2 linked regions of the Saccharomyces cerevisiae S288C genome follow. Changing the gene in region 2 together with the main gene of any one other region gives a genetic interaction. Each region holds a gene or a part of one and is shown on either strand. Other genes may lie near its edges.

Evidence for each region.
Region 1: mutations in EAF1 (region 2) and SLK19 are lethal when combined (synthetic lethality), as found in Saccharomyces cerevisiae (3 studies listed by BioGRID, with this or other methods).

What each region holds. Positions count from the first base shown.
Region 1 is NC_001147.6:708,963-716,882, forward strand, and holds SLK19 (Slk19p), read left to right. Parts: upstream 1-3,903; coding exon 3,904-6,369; downstream 6,370-7,920. Other genes in the region: YOR192C-A (gag protein), read right to left, coding at 1-770; PEX27 (Pex27p), read left to right, coding at 1,484-2,614; TOA1 (transcription initiation factor IIA large subunit), read right to left, coding at 2,721-3,581; LIP5 (lipoate synthase), read right to left, coding at 6,631-7,875. UniProt on the Saccharomyces cerevisiae protein: Has a role in spindle assembly and stability. Required to ensure a timely exit form mitosis. Essential to maintain pre-anaphase spindle polarity. Associates to the plus ends of the microtubules at the kinetochore and spindle midzone.
Region 2 is NC_001136.10:1,189,481-1,196,656, forward strand, and holds EAF1 (Eaf1p), read right to left. Parts: upstream 5,405-7,176; coding exon 2,456-5,404; downstream 1-2,455. Other genes in the region: CNL1 (Cnl1p), read right to left, coding at 1-87; GGA1 (ubiquitin-binding protein), read left to right, coding at 579-2,252; protein-transporting protein BCP1, read right to left, coding at 5,932-6,783. UniProt on the Saccharomyces cerevisiae protein: Component of the NuA4 histone acetyltransferase complex which is involved in transcriptional activation of selected genes principally by acetylation of nucleosomal histone H4 and H2A. The NuA4 complex is also involved in DNA repair.

The sequences.
Region 1 (7,920 bases), on a different chromosome or scaffold from region 2:
GTTTGCATTTTGGACACACTTTTACAAAGGACTGTAAGGATGTCAGAATAATTAATTTCTAAAATTTGTTTTACCCATGTTGGCAATAAATGAAATGGGGCAAATGCTTGGAAGGTATTGTATATATACGCATGTTCTTCATAAGTCATTTGTCTTTTGATTTCACCCTGGTCATTTGGAATAATGTCACCGAGATTAGAGTTCTTCAAAAATCTGATGTAAAATTTAACCCATGTAGAAAAGTTTTCTTCTGATGTTAAAGTGTGTGGTGGTAAGACATTATTTCTCACCTTTGTCTTAGCTTGAGGTACTTCAGAGTGTTGATCCTGTGAACCGATTGGATCAGGTGAGGAAGTACTCAGCGGTGGGATATACTGTGGCAGCGGATAGTGTGGGTCCGGTTGATAATACGCAGGTGACGTTTGATAATGTGAACACGTCATCATAGATGGTTGTTGGTAATGTGCCCAGTTAGAAGCCATAGCTTTGTTTGGGGTCATCATGCCGTGCTGTTGGTACTGTCCATTCTGTGGAGGTGGTACTGAAGCAGGTTGAGGAGAGACATGATGATGGTTCTCTGGAACAGCTGATGTCCCAGGTGTTGTCTCTTGTTGAGAATTAACCTTAGTGGAATCTCTATCAAATTCCGGTAAATTGGAAGCTGAAACGGCTAACGGATCTTGATTTGATGGGACTTCCTTAGAAGTAACCGAAGCATAGGCGCTACCATGAAAAGTGGGTGAATTTTGAGATAATTGTTGGGATTCCATTTTTAATAAGGCAATAATATTAGGTATGTAGAATGTACTAGAAGTTCTCCTCAAGGATTTAGGAATCCATGAAAGGGAATCTGCAATTCTACACAATTCTATAAATATTATTATCATCATTTTATATGTTAATATTCATTGATCCTATTACATTATCAATCCTTGCGTTTCAGCTTCCACTAATTTAGATGACTATTTCTCATCATTTGCGTCATCTTCTAACACCGTATATGATAATATACTAGTAACGTAAATACTAGTTAGTAGATGATAGTTGATTTTTATTCCAACAGTTTTATATACCTCTCTTATTTAGTATAAGAAGATCAGTAATTATTTCTTCATTAATACTATTTTTTACCTCTAATTATCAACAGATTCACATTCCAAGATGAGAATTTTAAGTTTATGGTCCCTTAATTCTTTGATATCAAAGTCTCTCCTCAGAGAGGCATTGCAAGAATTAGCAGCGCCGTGGCGCAGTGGAAGCGCGCAGGGCTCATAACCCTGATGTCCTCGGATCGAAACCGAGCGGCGCTAATTTTTTTACCTTTGATCCTTTATTTTTCTTAATTTCCTTGTCAGTCTGACTATTATTGTTAATACATAGAATGAAATGTTATTTATAAAAAAAAAAGTTTTGGAGAAAAGTAGGATGATAGGATTTGAAGGTAGACTATGACCTTTGTGTTAACTTGGACAATCGTTTTATCATGACATCCGATCCTGTTAATACGAATATAAGTAGCCCCACTTTAACGGACAGAAATGCAGACGAATCATGGGAGCTCTTGAAAAGAGAGTTTAACACATTATTTAGCAACCTGAAAACTGACAGTAAAGAAGAAGGTAATTTCACAGACAACAAAGGAGTAATCGCCAAGAAACCAATTGTTCTGCAGGATAATGATGATTCGGATTTTACGCAGAATCAGGGAAAAGTTGCTACTGCAACCAGTACAACTAGTGACAGAAGCTTTAAGCGAACACTTGGTTCTATTGAAATGAAAAAACGTTATGTTAAGAAAAATTGCCAAGCAAAATTTGTTTTTAACACGCTTGAAGGTAAAGAAGTTTGTTCGAAAATACTACAACATACCCTAGGCCTATTAAGTTTATTGCTATTGACGAGAAAGATACGACTACTAAATTTTTCCTCAAAACTGCGATTGGTGATTCAACAATTGAGTTTATTTCGGTACTATTTGAGATTCGGAAACTTTGCGATCAATTTATATAAAATTATCAAAAGATTTCGCTGGTTGAGAGAAATGAAAAAACTACATTATAAAGATCAATCAATTTTATTTTATTTTAAAAATTTCCGGTTTTTCGACATTATTGAAGCTTTTTATAATTTGACAGATGAGTTGATACTGTTCCATAAGCTACAATCAATGTTTGGTAAAAAGAACACATCACATGCAAATACTAATAGACTAATGACATTCGTCAAAGAACAGCACTATATCTTATGGGAAGTTTTAAATATTCTTGCTATCAATAAAAACATTGAACAATGGCGACAGCTAATAAGAGATGAAATTTATTTAAGTATCTATAATACCAGTGGTAATGCAATAAAGGAATACGAGTTAAAGTACAAACTACCTACCAATGACAAAGTCAATTTGGAGTTACGGAAAAATAATATTACATTGGATTTTTATAAGATAATACTAAACTTATTGTCTAATCTAATTAATATTAAAGGTAAAAGGGACAAATATAACTCAGAGCTAGCTTACGAAATAATTTCAGTAGGTTCCGGTGTTACTGAACTCCTTAAGCTATGGAACCGAGCCAAAGTCACTTCGGCTAATGAACATACAAGCGCTGTTTGACAACAGATGACCAAGTTCGTTGCATCCCTCTTTATTTCGTTTTTTTAGTTTGATATTATAGTACTTGTATATATACATTTTTTCTTCTTTACGTCTAAAGATTTAGTTATACCCACTCCGCTTCCACTTGAGCTTTTTGGAATGTGTAGTCATTTCTATTGATGGTCACCACACCATCTTTCAGACTACATTTCCATCTCGCCTTTGTTCTTGTGACTTTATCATATAAGCACAGCATTAAGTTCTCATCTGGCCCATCCTCTTCACCCTCCGAAATTAGATAGTCATCGTCGGAATCATCTAGTTCTGAACCGACCTCATCCGTATCTAATAATGCACTTCTTTTTTCCTTCTTCGCTTGTAATTTTACTTGTTCTATCTGCTCCTTTTCCTTGCGGGTTTTTTCCACGTCCTCCTCCTTTTCCTCGTCGTCTTTCTTCTCACTTTCATCATCTATGTTTTCGACGGTAGTTATATTGGCATTATTAATAGTAAGTTCTATTTCCGGTTTTACTTCAATTTTAGGCTGGCTAGTTACGTCCGCATTTGTATTACCACTAGTATTTGTGTTCAAGGTAGCACCTGAATTATTAGTTGCTTCTACCGTATTCGTATTAATATTGGTCTCTCCAGAGTGCGGTATGTTGTTGTTGGAATTGATATTTGGCAAAATTAGACCTTCATTACCGGTATTCTCCTCCTTAATATTGAACTCGCTAGAATTTACGCCGGGGGTAGCAAGATTGAAATTTAAGTCGTTCTGTACACCATTGATATTTCCTTCATTGAACTGATTGTCCCATGAAAAAGTAGTTACCTTCGTCTCTGTGAGCTTTTTTTGCCAAATATTTTTTAGGTCTTGTAAAGTTTGTTCATCGATACCCGCATTTTCAAAGTCCTCTCTTACTTCATTTACCACAGACTCTACGATAATCTCGTACACTCTGCTGGCCTCTGCATTCGACATGATATCCAACGATGTCCCTTGTGTATGGCCTTGATTTGTGTGATACTATCGCTTTTCTTCTTTGAGCTTGCCCCCGATAATATGCCGTATGGCTTTATCCACCTTGTTATTTGGCTTCTTCATCTTTTCTTCAACTGTCTCACATCATACTTGACGAAGCTTTTTTTCGCGTTAATTTATATTCTTTATTTATTTATTTATAATTCAGAGTGTACGATGAGTTCCTCTTTAATGGTTCATTTGAAGGACACTAACTAAAAAGAGCATCATTGGTGTCAAGGGGCACCCAGTTAAAAAAGGTTTTGAGCACATATCGTAATTCATGAACGAAGTTCCTACCACTCCAGTTAGGCTTATTTTAGGGCAAGCTCAGCAACGCGAGCAGAATTCAGAAAACTGTTCGCAAGAACGTAACCCACGCACGTTTAATTCCGAACCGGATTCCAGCTTTAACTCTCCTGGTTCCTCCCAGTTCGTGATACATCCTCATGAACCGCTCGAGAAGGAGAAAGATGAGAAGCAGGATTTAGACCGCTCGATTGATTACGGTAGGTCATCAGCTCTTAACAACAAGAATAATGCCAATCCATTAGAGAATATAGACATAAATAAAATGTTTGATGACAAAAAATCAGATTCAGGTACCAATGATGATAAAGGAGGCGCAAGTACTAGTGATAAGCATGTCCTTGCATTGAATTATTCACCGATCAGAGTTGAAATGAACTCCTCAGAGAAACGAAGCGACAAAAACGTGGACGTAGATGAAAATGATAAAGAAGGTAGCCATATTAATAAAAAATTGAAATTGCAGTTAGAATCAGTACCTGATTTGAAACAAAGCTCTACTAAAGATATCATTAATGACAAAGAAGAAATTATGTCGTCTCCAATGGCGATTGATATGATTGAGACCAACATAAGCCCAAATAAATTCATAATAAACGACGGAGTTGAAAGAAACGATAGTTTCAATATCAATACCGACACACTTAAATTAGAAAATGATATAAATGAGAAACAACAAGAGGAAGACTTCATAAAATCTAACAGTAACAATGTGGTTAATATTGACAATGCTTATAAGGAAAAGGAGGACGAAGAAAATGATATAACAAATTCTCATATAAACAGGCTTACTCCTTTGTATGAGACTTCTGCAAGGGAGTCGAACTCAAATGAAGAGGGGAGGAATGACTACGATGATGACAACCAACTTGATATTAGACATGACAATTTTCAGATTGTAGCAAAAAGAAACGAGGAGCTCACTGATCAGATATATCACTTAAATCAAATGTTAAACTCTTTGATTTCCAAAAATGAATCATTGTCTTTTCAATACGAGAAATTGAACAAAAATCACCAACTACTAATAGATTTGACAAATGAAAAGTTAGATAAACTAAATACAGAAAGAGAGAGCGATATTGCCAAGGTGGAAAAATTCAAAAAGAGGATTAAGGAGTTGAATACAGAAATTAAGGTATTGAATTCCAACCAAAAAATATTACAAGAAAAATTCGATGCCTCAATTACTGAAGTAAATCATATAAAGGGCGAACATGAAAATACTGTCAACACTTTGCAGCAAAATGAGAAAATTTTAAATGATAAAAATGTAGAACTGGAAAATATGAAAGCAGAATTGAAAGGCAATAATGATAAATTATCCGAATATGAGACCACGTTAAATGACTTGAATTCTCGCATTGTGCAACTGAATGATAAGATTGAAAGCACAGATATTGTTTTGAAATCTAAAGAGAACGAACTAGATAATTTAAAATTGAGTTTGAAGGAAACTTTATCGATTTCTAAGGACTTCAACGACTCTGACCTTATAGGACAAATTAATGAGCTAATATCTACAAAAAACAACTTGCAACAAAAAATGGATGATTTGAATAACCTGAACGACGATAATTTGAAGGTAGTACAGGATAAATTAATTAAAAATGAGGAGACGCTAAAACTAAAAGAAGCTGAAATTGATTCATTGAATAGTGAAATGGACGAGCTAAAAAAACAGATCACTTCAAAAGATGATGAATTTAAGATGTGGCAAAGTAAATACGAAACTGTCGAAGACGAAGCTAAGATACGCAATGCCGAAGTTACAGAGTTGAACGGAGATATTGAAGATCTAAAGGAATCAAAATTGCATTTGGAAGAAACAATTACGGAACTAGAAAACAAAGTTCATAAACTAGAAAATGAGTGTGAACTGGAGAAACAAAAATTCGAAAAAACTTCGCTAGAATTAGAAAGCTTACAACTAAAAAATAGTAACATTCAGGCTGAGCACATCAAAGAATTGGAAAATCTTCATGAAAACCTTATTTCTCTTCAAAATGAATTGAAGATTTCATCCGACAGGATAACAACATTAACAAAAGAAAATGAAGTATTAATGGAACAAAATAATAATAACAATAATAGCGTTACTTTAAGCAATGATCAAAAGGATAGAGATGATGAAAAAATTAAATCATTAGGAAAACAAGTACAAGATTGGAAAGAAAAGTATGAGGCCAAAGAAAAAGATACAAATAAAAGGCTAAAGTTATTAGCAGAAGATTTGTATATCCAGTATTCATCCAAACACGAACAAAAGGTCAAACTGTTGAAAAAAGGCTATGAAAACAAGTACCAAAATAAGTTTGATCAATTAAATTTAGAAAATAAAACTCTGTCAGAAGAAATCGAGCAATTGAACAAGCAGCTGTCTTCAGAAAGAGAAGAAAAGCAGGAGTTACTCAAGTTGTTAGAAAATGAAAAAAAATAAACGCATTTTTTTCTTTTGCATTTTATCTTTTCCCTTAATATGTCATGAGAATAAAATATTAAGGATATACCGTAAATATACAAATTCGTATCGAATATTTGATATTGTTTCCTAACTTTTCTGTGTTAAAAATAAATATGCAAAAACATACTAACCATAAAAATAAATAAAATACAAGATATAAATAAATAATCCAGCAAGCAAAGACATTGCGGTCCATGCCATAATTGTTTTCTTCCAACTATTAGATTTCAGTGTGCATTATTTCATGTTTCTTTTCTTCAAAACGTTCTCAATAAATGCTTCACCAGCCTTATATGACGATCTTACTAGGGGTCCAGATGCACAATACAAGAATCCCATCTCTAAAGCTCTCTCTTTCCAGTAGTCAAACTTTTCGGGTTTCACATATTCTACGACTTTCATATGTCTCTTGGTTGGCCTCATATATTGACCAAATGTAACAACATCACATTGAATATTGCGCAAATCCTTCAAAGTTTGAGTAATTTGCTCATCAGTTTCTCCTAGACCCAGCATTATTGATGTTTTAGTAATCAGTGACGGAACCGTAGCTTTTGCCCTTTCTAAAACACTCAAAGACTGTCTATAAGTAGCTCTTCTGTCTCTGACATGTGGTGTTAGTGATTCAACTGTTTCCAAATTATGTGCGTAAACATCAAGCCCACATTGTGCCATAATGTCCACCATCTTCAAATCACCTCTGAAATCACCAGAAAGAGTCTCTACAAGAGTATTTGGTGCCTTCTGTTTGATTTTGCGAACCGTCTCGGCCAGGTGATTAGCACCACCATCGACTAAATCGTCCCTATCAACGGTAGTTAAAACAACATAACCCAACCCCCATCTTTTGATAGCTTCGGCAGTATTTTCGGGCTCCATTGGGTCCGGCTTACTAGGCGTTCTATTGGTCTTCACAGAACAAAACCTACATCCACGAGTGCAAGTATCACCAAGCAGCATAATTGTTGCCGTTGCCTTAGATTTATCTTTGCCTCCCCAACATTCACCAATATTGGGACATCTTGCCTCCTCACAAACAGTACTCAGGCCTAATTCTTTTACGTCGCCTTTCAATTTATGGTAATTGGTACCCTTAGGAATAGGAACCTTAAGCCAACGAGGTAGTTTTTTAGCTTCCTCTGTATTTTGCCTTGCCTTCTCCAGAGGGTCCAAGATCATTTTCGAAGCTTTACCTGAAACAAAATCTGCAAAAGATGGACCCAAATTAAGAGCATCTTTGAACTCTGTAATTCTTTTTCTGTTCCCCTTGCGTCTTTTTCCCGAAGTCCCTGTTAACTGACTGGTTGCATTTTCAACCTCAGTTGAATTTCCAACTGGTACCCTAACGCTAGCGTTATCTGAATCAGTATTCAATGCATTGGATCTTATTGGCCGAGTTGCGCTCGTTCCACACCTAATAGTGGACGAAATCCATCTTGTATTTCTCCCAACAAATAGTACTCCAACAGATCGTCTATACATTATTGTGGCTTAACAGTTCTCCTTAAAATCCACATAACTGACAAA
Region 2 (7,176 bases):
ATCGTAGTCGACTGTCAATTTATCAATTCCAAGAGGATCGTCACCAGCCGAAGCCGACTCTCTGGAATGACTTGAGTTGTCTTGCATTCTAAATAAGGCCAACTAACCTAGTTGAATATACTGCTAATGAATGCTAAAATACACAAATTTCATGTAAAAAAACCCCGCGAATTTTGTGTTATGGTTAAAAAATAACTGTAACTGAAATTACCCAAATTGGAGAAAACTTGTTAAGTCCTTATTTTAGCTACTGTGGATGGCTCCCTCTGTGGAAATAGCAGCAATTTTGGCCATTTACCATGTTCTAGAAAACGGCTAAAAAACAAATAATGACCCCGAATATTTTAAATCGCAAAACCTAAAATAACCTGCTATTTAACTCAATAACCTATGACAGATTAGCAAAAAGCCCTAAAATTTATAACTTAAAACCTAATGGTATTTTTAAAGGGGTGAATATTGCGCATAACCATTTCAAGTTAAAAACCCTTATATCATTATATAAAAAATATCTTAATAAAGAAGCAATTTGGGACAAGTCACTACTTCAAGTATAACCCAGACAAGAGTCTTTTAAAATGCCACAAAGAATTGAGCTTACCTCCGAACCAGTCAGAAAACCGCGGTCTACTGAGAGCTCACTACTCAGAAAGATACAAAGAGCGTGTAGATCCACATTGCCTGAACCAGATTTGGGCTTGAACTTAGATGTAGCTGACTATATCAACTCAAAGCAAGGAGCAACCCCTAGAGAGGCTGTGTTAGCAATTGAAAAATTGGTCAATAATGGGGACACGCAAGCAGCTGTTTTTGCACTTTCACTACTAGACGTGCTGGTAAAAAATTGTGGTTACTCTATACATTTGCAAATCTCCAGGAAGGAATTCTTAAATGATCTAGTGAAAAGATTTCCAGAGCAACCACCATTGAGATATTCCAAGGTGCAACAAATGATTCTTGAAGCCATCGAGGAATGGTACCAAACCATCTGCAAACATGCCAGCTACAAAGATGATCTTCAATATATCAACGACATGCATAAATTACTGAAATACAAGGGTTATACTTTCCCAAAAGTTGGGAGTGAAAACTTGGCGGTGTTGAGACCGAATGACCAACTGAGGACACCTAGTGAGCTACAGGAAGAACAGGAAAGAGCTCAAGCTGCAAAACTAGAAGAGCTGCTAAGAAGCGGCAAGCCCGATGATTTGAAAGAAGCTAATAAACTGATGAAAATTATGGCGGGATTTAAGGATGACACTAAAGTAGCAGTCAAACAAGCAATTAACAATGAACTAAATAAACTCAAAAGAAAAGCTGATTTATTCAACGAAATGTTGACTTCAGCCGATGAGCCTGATCTTGAAAATGAAGCTATTCAAGAATTGTATGGCGACTTAAAATCAGCGCAGCCGAAATTCAAAAAGCTTATTGAGGAAGAACGCGATGACGATGCGCTTGTTAGTAATCTATCAAAATTTAACGATCTAGTGATCCAATTGTTAAAAAGGTACAAGTCAATAAAAGGTATGAAGGAAGAAGAACTAAATGTCCCCGATACGAATGAACCGGCAAAAGAGCTTAATTTGATAGATTTTGATGACGATACAACAGCAAACACTCCATCTGTGACATCTCCAAGCAAATCTTTGCAACCTTTTGACGATCTTTTAGGGGATTTTAATAAGGTAAGTTTATCATCCCCAAAGTCTCCTCAAGAAAACGACACTGTTGTTGATATACTTGGTGACGCTCACTCAAAGTCATCTGGTATAGATTTATTAGATTTTGATTCGCAACCTGGAGAAAGTAAAACCGCTCTGTCCGCATATTCTAACTCGATTGTTCTACCTAATGGTTTACTAAATAGTTCAAGTAACTCCAAGGAAATCACAGCTCAATCGCAAAGACATATACTTAACCAATCGGATCACTTACGCATTGATTACGAATTAACTCGTGAGTCGATGACAAAACTACGATTAGTTATCTTCTATTCAAACATAAGCAGTGATCCAATAACTAATTTTGCACTTTTAGTGGCATCACCTAAAGGCACGACATTGTCTCTGCAACCGCAATCGGGCAATATGCTCCAAAGTAACTCCAGAGATGGTATCAAACAGATTGCTTCCGTAGAGGGTATATCTGTTAATTTAGGTAAGCCCATAAAATTGAAATGGAAGGCTAATTACTGCACCAAGGGTGATTCGAAGGAAGAATCGGGCACGACCAGTTTGCCCACAATATAATCAAATTCGGTAGAGAAGTTGAAAAAAAAGTAGATGCCATATTATATTACAGAGAACAGAGTGTTACGCCAACATACTAAACCAGAGAAGTAAAACGTTTTACTTATATATAATAGTATTCGTAAATTTATAAAAATCAAAAAACCAATATAAGCCTGGTTAAAAAAAAAAAAAGATCAGTATCGTAAAGTCGTAAAGTTAGGTCATTGTTTTTGGAACCTTTGTAAAATCTCCTGTGGAGTTGGTGACTTTATCCTTGGAGCAGAATTAATGTTAGAAATATTGGAAAGAGAAGATTGAGATGGAGATGATTTCGGTGGCGGAGCTTGAGACCCTGGTTGTAGTTGCTGCAGTTGCTGCACATGACTGGACTCCTCCTGTAACTGCTGCCTTTGCTGTTGAATCTGGTGCTGCTTTAGCTGTTGCTGTTGTTCTCTCAAGGTTCTATAATAGTTTTTTGCCGCCTTAAGGGCCATCTCAGGACCAATGTCTGGTTTTTGCTCCAACAACTTCCTCGAGTAACTTTCAATGATATCTTGCTCAGTATACTGTTTCTGGTTTGGTCTTGGAGCCGACGCTTGCCCATTTCTAGCCAAATTTGAAGAAGATTTGCCATTTGAAGGTATTGGACTTTGAGCTCGGGATGAATGTGCCTGCTGACTTTGCTGTTGCCTCTGTTGTAATCTATTTTTCACTGTTCTTCTCAATTGTATATCCCTTCTCAATGCCTCATCTCTTTGGGCTTTCAAAAGCGACATTTCTGCTGGGGTAGGGACCTTCATGTTTTTACAATCTAACGGTTTCCTTGGCTGGGTTGGATTGGGACGCGGCGTATTTTCTCTTTTTTTCATACATTTTCTAATCGCCTCAAACATGCTCGCCCAACGGAGTCTCCTATGACCTCTTTGTATGGATTCTGTATTTACACCTAAAGGCGATATTCTTCTATTCTGTCTCTGCTGAAATTTATGGGCTTCAATCAACCACTGTTGAGCACTATGTGCTCTGGGACCCTTGAGGTCACTAAAATTGAATCGTTCATTTAATTGTACAAAACGCTCAAAACACTGCCATGGCGTTCTACGTTCAATATTCGATAAATAAGAATATGTGAGGCGATGTGTCATATGTGCACTAATCAATTCCCAATTGTAGCCATATGTGTTAATATTTTTGACCAGTTCCTGATCGTCCTCAGACAGCCATATAGTCGGTGTTCTATTTTGAAGATAGCGTAATGAAGGTACTGCTGGTGGTCTTAAATAATGATTTCTTCTATTACCATAGAACATACCCCGCCTTTTGCTCAATTGTGATATTGATGGTTCTTCGTCAATCAATTGACGCTCAAGTAACTTATAAAATCCATTATCATCCAGTGACACTACCGATTTGGAAATTGGAATAAATGGTAAAGAATCATCTTTTTTTGGCCGTTCTTCATTAATACCATTATACAGCGGTAAATCCTGTATTAATGTTTTTTCAAAAGTATTGAGTTCGTCAACAAAGATTGAAAGTTTAAATGGGGGGGCTAGCTCTTTCTTTGATTCTTCGGTTTCGATCAACGCTGATGATGCAGCTACTTCATGTTGTATTAAAACAACTTCGCTTGAGGAGGATGGCTTTTTTAGAAGTAACTTGGTGTCAATAGAAGATATAATTTGATCGTGGGCACCTTCTTGAGATAACAAACCATCTGCAAAATCAAAATCACTCTTAGCTCCTGCTTCATTCTTTCCATTCTCATCATTATCGTTAGCAGCAGCACTTTCTTTTTCAGTAATATCGTCAACGTTCGCAATAATTCCAATGTCATCCTTACCGGCTATGCTAATATCGGAATCATTTCTTGAAGTATCCGATGGTCTACCGGACTTTTCAGATATGCGCCCGTCGTCAGATAATTTATTTTCCTTACCAGGTAGAAGTGTTTTACGTTTTACACAGCATATTTCCCCATAGGTCCAGTAGTCCTTGATTGCCTGTGCCATTGCTGTGCAGATAGCTACTTTATATTTGTGGCCCTCTTTAAAATCTGCTTGCATCCATTTAGCTTCTTCTAAAAGTATGTTTTGATGCGTATTGTGTTGTTTCCACGGATCGATGAATCTTTTAGGTTGTCTTAAAGACCATAATCCAAGTCTTCTTAGTTCTTCTATTCGCGAGCCAACAACAGTAATTCTGGCCTCGTTTAAGGCGTTGTTTATAATATTAGTGGTCAAAGCCTTGTGAGCTCTCGGTATTAGATTAATAAGAGGCAGAGTTTGTGACATGTACTTCAATTCTGCTAAGGGCAAAGCCTGGGGTATTTTCGATGGTATATAATCGTTCATTAATAAAAATACGGTCTCTAATGCGTCAACATTGTTCTCGTTATAATGGTCTGATGTATCTATCTCTTTCGCCATAATGTTCTTTATCAACGGATCCTTGAATTTTACTGCAGGTTGCACCTCAGTGGGATCTGCTGGTGGGTACTCGATGTTCTCATAATAAGTGTAGTGTGCTAATGCATTAGGCACTGGGGGACGCGGCGAAATAGGTAATGAAGCCATTTCCGAATTATTAGAAGATTCCAATGACTGAGATTGCATCTTCTGTCTTTTTTCATGTCGCTCTTCTTCACCTCCCATAGTTGACTCAAGTGGCCTTTTGTTCCACATACCTCCTGTCTTTTCAGCTGGCCTCAAAGAATCCATCATATTTTCACGGATTGAATTATCGTGGCTTGGAACAAAATGACTCTCTGATTTGACTGATACATTTTCGCTATTTTCTGGCAGTTCCCTACTCATTTTAGAATCGGATAGCCTCTGGTTAGGTACATTTATTAAATTTACATCCTTCAATTTCTTTTTTGTTATGGGAGTCGCAGCTGTATGTAGGAGCTTCGGCAGTGACGCCTCGTCAAACCTTATACCCCTTCGTATATCGTTTTTCTTTAAAAATGCATCTATTTCCTTCCGAAGTTTGTTTTCATCTGTTAACTCTAGCAGCTGGTTCAAGCGGGATACGCAGTATAGTTCGGTCAGTTTTCTATCTCTTTCATCAATTAAGTCATCTGCCTTAGGAAATTTACTTCTATCACTGCTCTGGTCCTCACTGAGTGATGCTGAATTAGGCACTGCTGAACTTGGACGTGAGGACATCTTTGAGGCGGAAACTGTACTTTTGATTATGATGTCTCTAAATAATCTTTATATTCTATCTGTTCGGCGGCTAACGCCTACGGGTAATAGCCGGCCTTTGAAAATTTCGCGGCTGCAGCAAGTACGCAAAAATCCTTATCCCTTCTAACGGTTCGAAAGGGGGAAGAACCAGAAATTTTGTAGTTACGCCGCAAATACCTGTATGCCCCGGCTCAAAATGCTCAACACTTATATGCTGACTATGTTCTATAAGGCTCAGGGTGAATGACCTTTCTTGAATTACAATCTGATTTCACTTTGCACAATATATACTATGTATTTTTATTGGAGCACACGACATTAAAAAGATGATCGCCCAGAAAAATTTTCAGCGGTGGCGGATTAATTTTTACTGTCCTCGGCAGCCCAAAATTATCCGTGTAGGATGACATAAAGGCTCAATGGCCGCTGCTGCTTCGTCTGTTAATAATATACAAATTGCACTAACTGTGCAGGGCAGTGATCGCAACTATTTACTTTTCGTAAAATTACCAAGTGGAAATTTCTGTTTCCAATTCATCGATACTTTTGACAAGGCCTTCGTGATCAAGAATCATGTATGAGCTGATAACACCCTTTTTAGCTTCTGATTCGAAGTGAATCTTGGCATATTTTTCAAAAAATCGGTCCTCCTCATGAAAGTAGTCTACTTCATCGGCCTTCACCCTTTTTTTGGATCTTTCGTCTTTGTTTTTATTCCTCTTACCAGAGTCGGTATCATCGTCAGTGTCAAAATTTACTTCATACTTCCTGGTGACGATGATATAGAAGTCATAATGTTTGTCATCGCCAAGTGCCGTGGCAACATCCTCCAACGTAATCTTGTATAAAGGTGGAACGACTTCCGGTGGCATATTAATCAGCCTTTCACTGAGAACCAAAGCACAATTTTTATTACCACTATCAATCATAGTTTTGAAGAAAGTGGAAAGTCTCATGTCCACTTTTTGTAAATATTTGACATAATCACTTAGATGATTAGCTTTGAAATCAACGAATGAAAGAAAACAGTATGGATCAGATTCTTTGCCGTCTGTTTTAATTGTGGTGGTTGGGGAACCTAGGATCAAATCTGCCAAGCTGCTTAGTTGAATCCTGGTACTTTCTTGAGGACCAAATAACTGACGCAGTAAATTCTTTAAAGCATGAAAATCAACTTCTGGGTTACCACCGAAAAAATCGAAGTCAATATTTACGATCTCTTCTTCTCCATTTTGCTCTTCTTCATTTTCTGAATCGGTGCTACTAATGTCAATTTCAGACTCGTCACTGCCATTTTCTTCCTCCACATTTTTTCTCTTCCTATTTTTTAAATCATTTAATTTGATAGCTTGAACCATATTTGTGAGTTAATTAGCAATCCTATGAAAATGTGGGCCTCATGAACAATCTAAATGATAAAATTATAAGGACATAATAGATAATATATTGACAACTCTTTTTCAGATATTTTTTCTACCTCAATCTCATCGCGAGGAATATAGGCACGGAAAGAGAAACTCGTATAAAGTGACCACGGATATCGAGAATTTGATAATTTACCCTTAACTGAAGTTATGGCACAATATCTGTATAAATTTTAATACATAATTTGCGGCAGGAATAACTGCAACAATACTCAAAGTTATTAGTGCTAGCCAGGCGATATTTTACATTAGGCTATTTTATTCCTTTTTCATTTCAATAAAAAAAGATAGTTTTTTTCGTCAACAATAGTTCAATGTCACAAATTG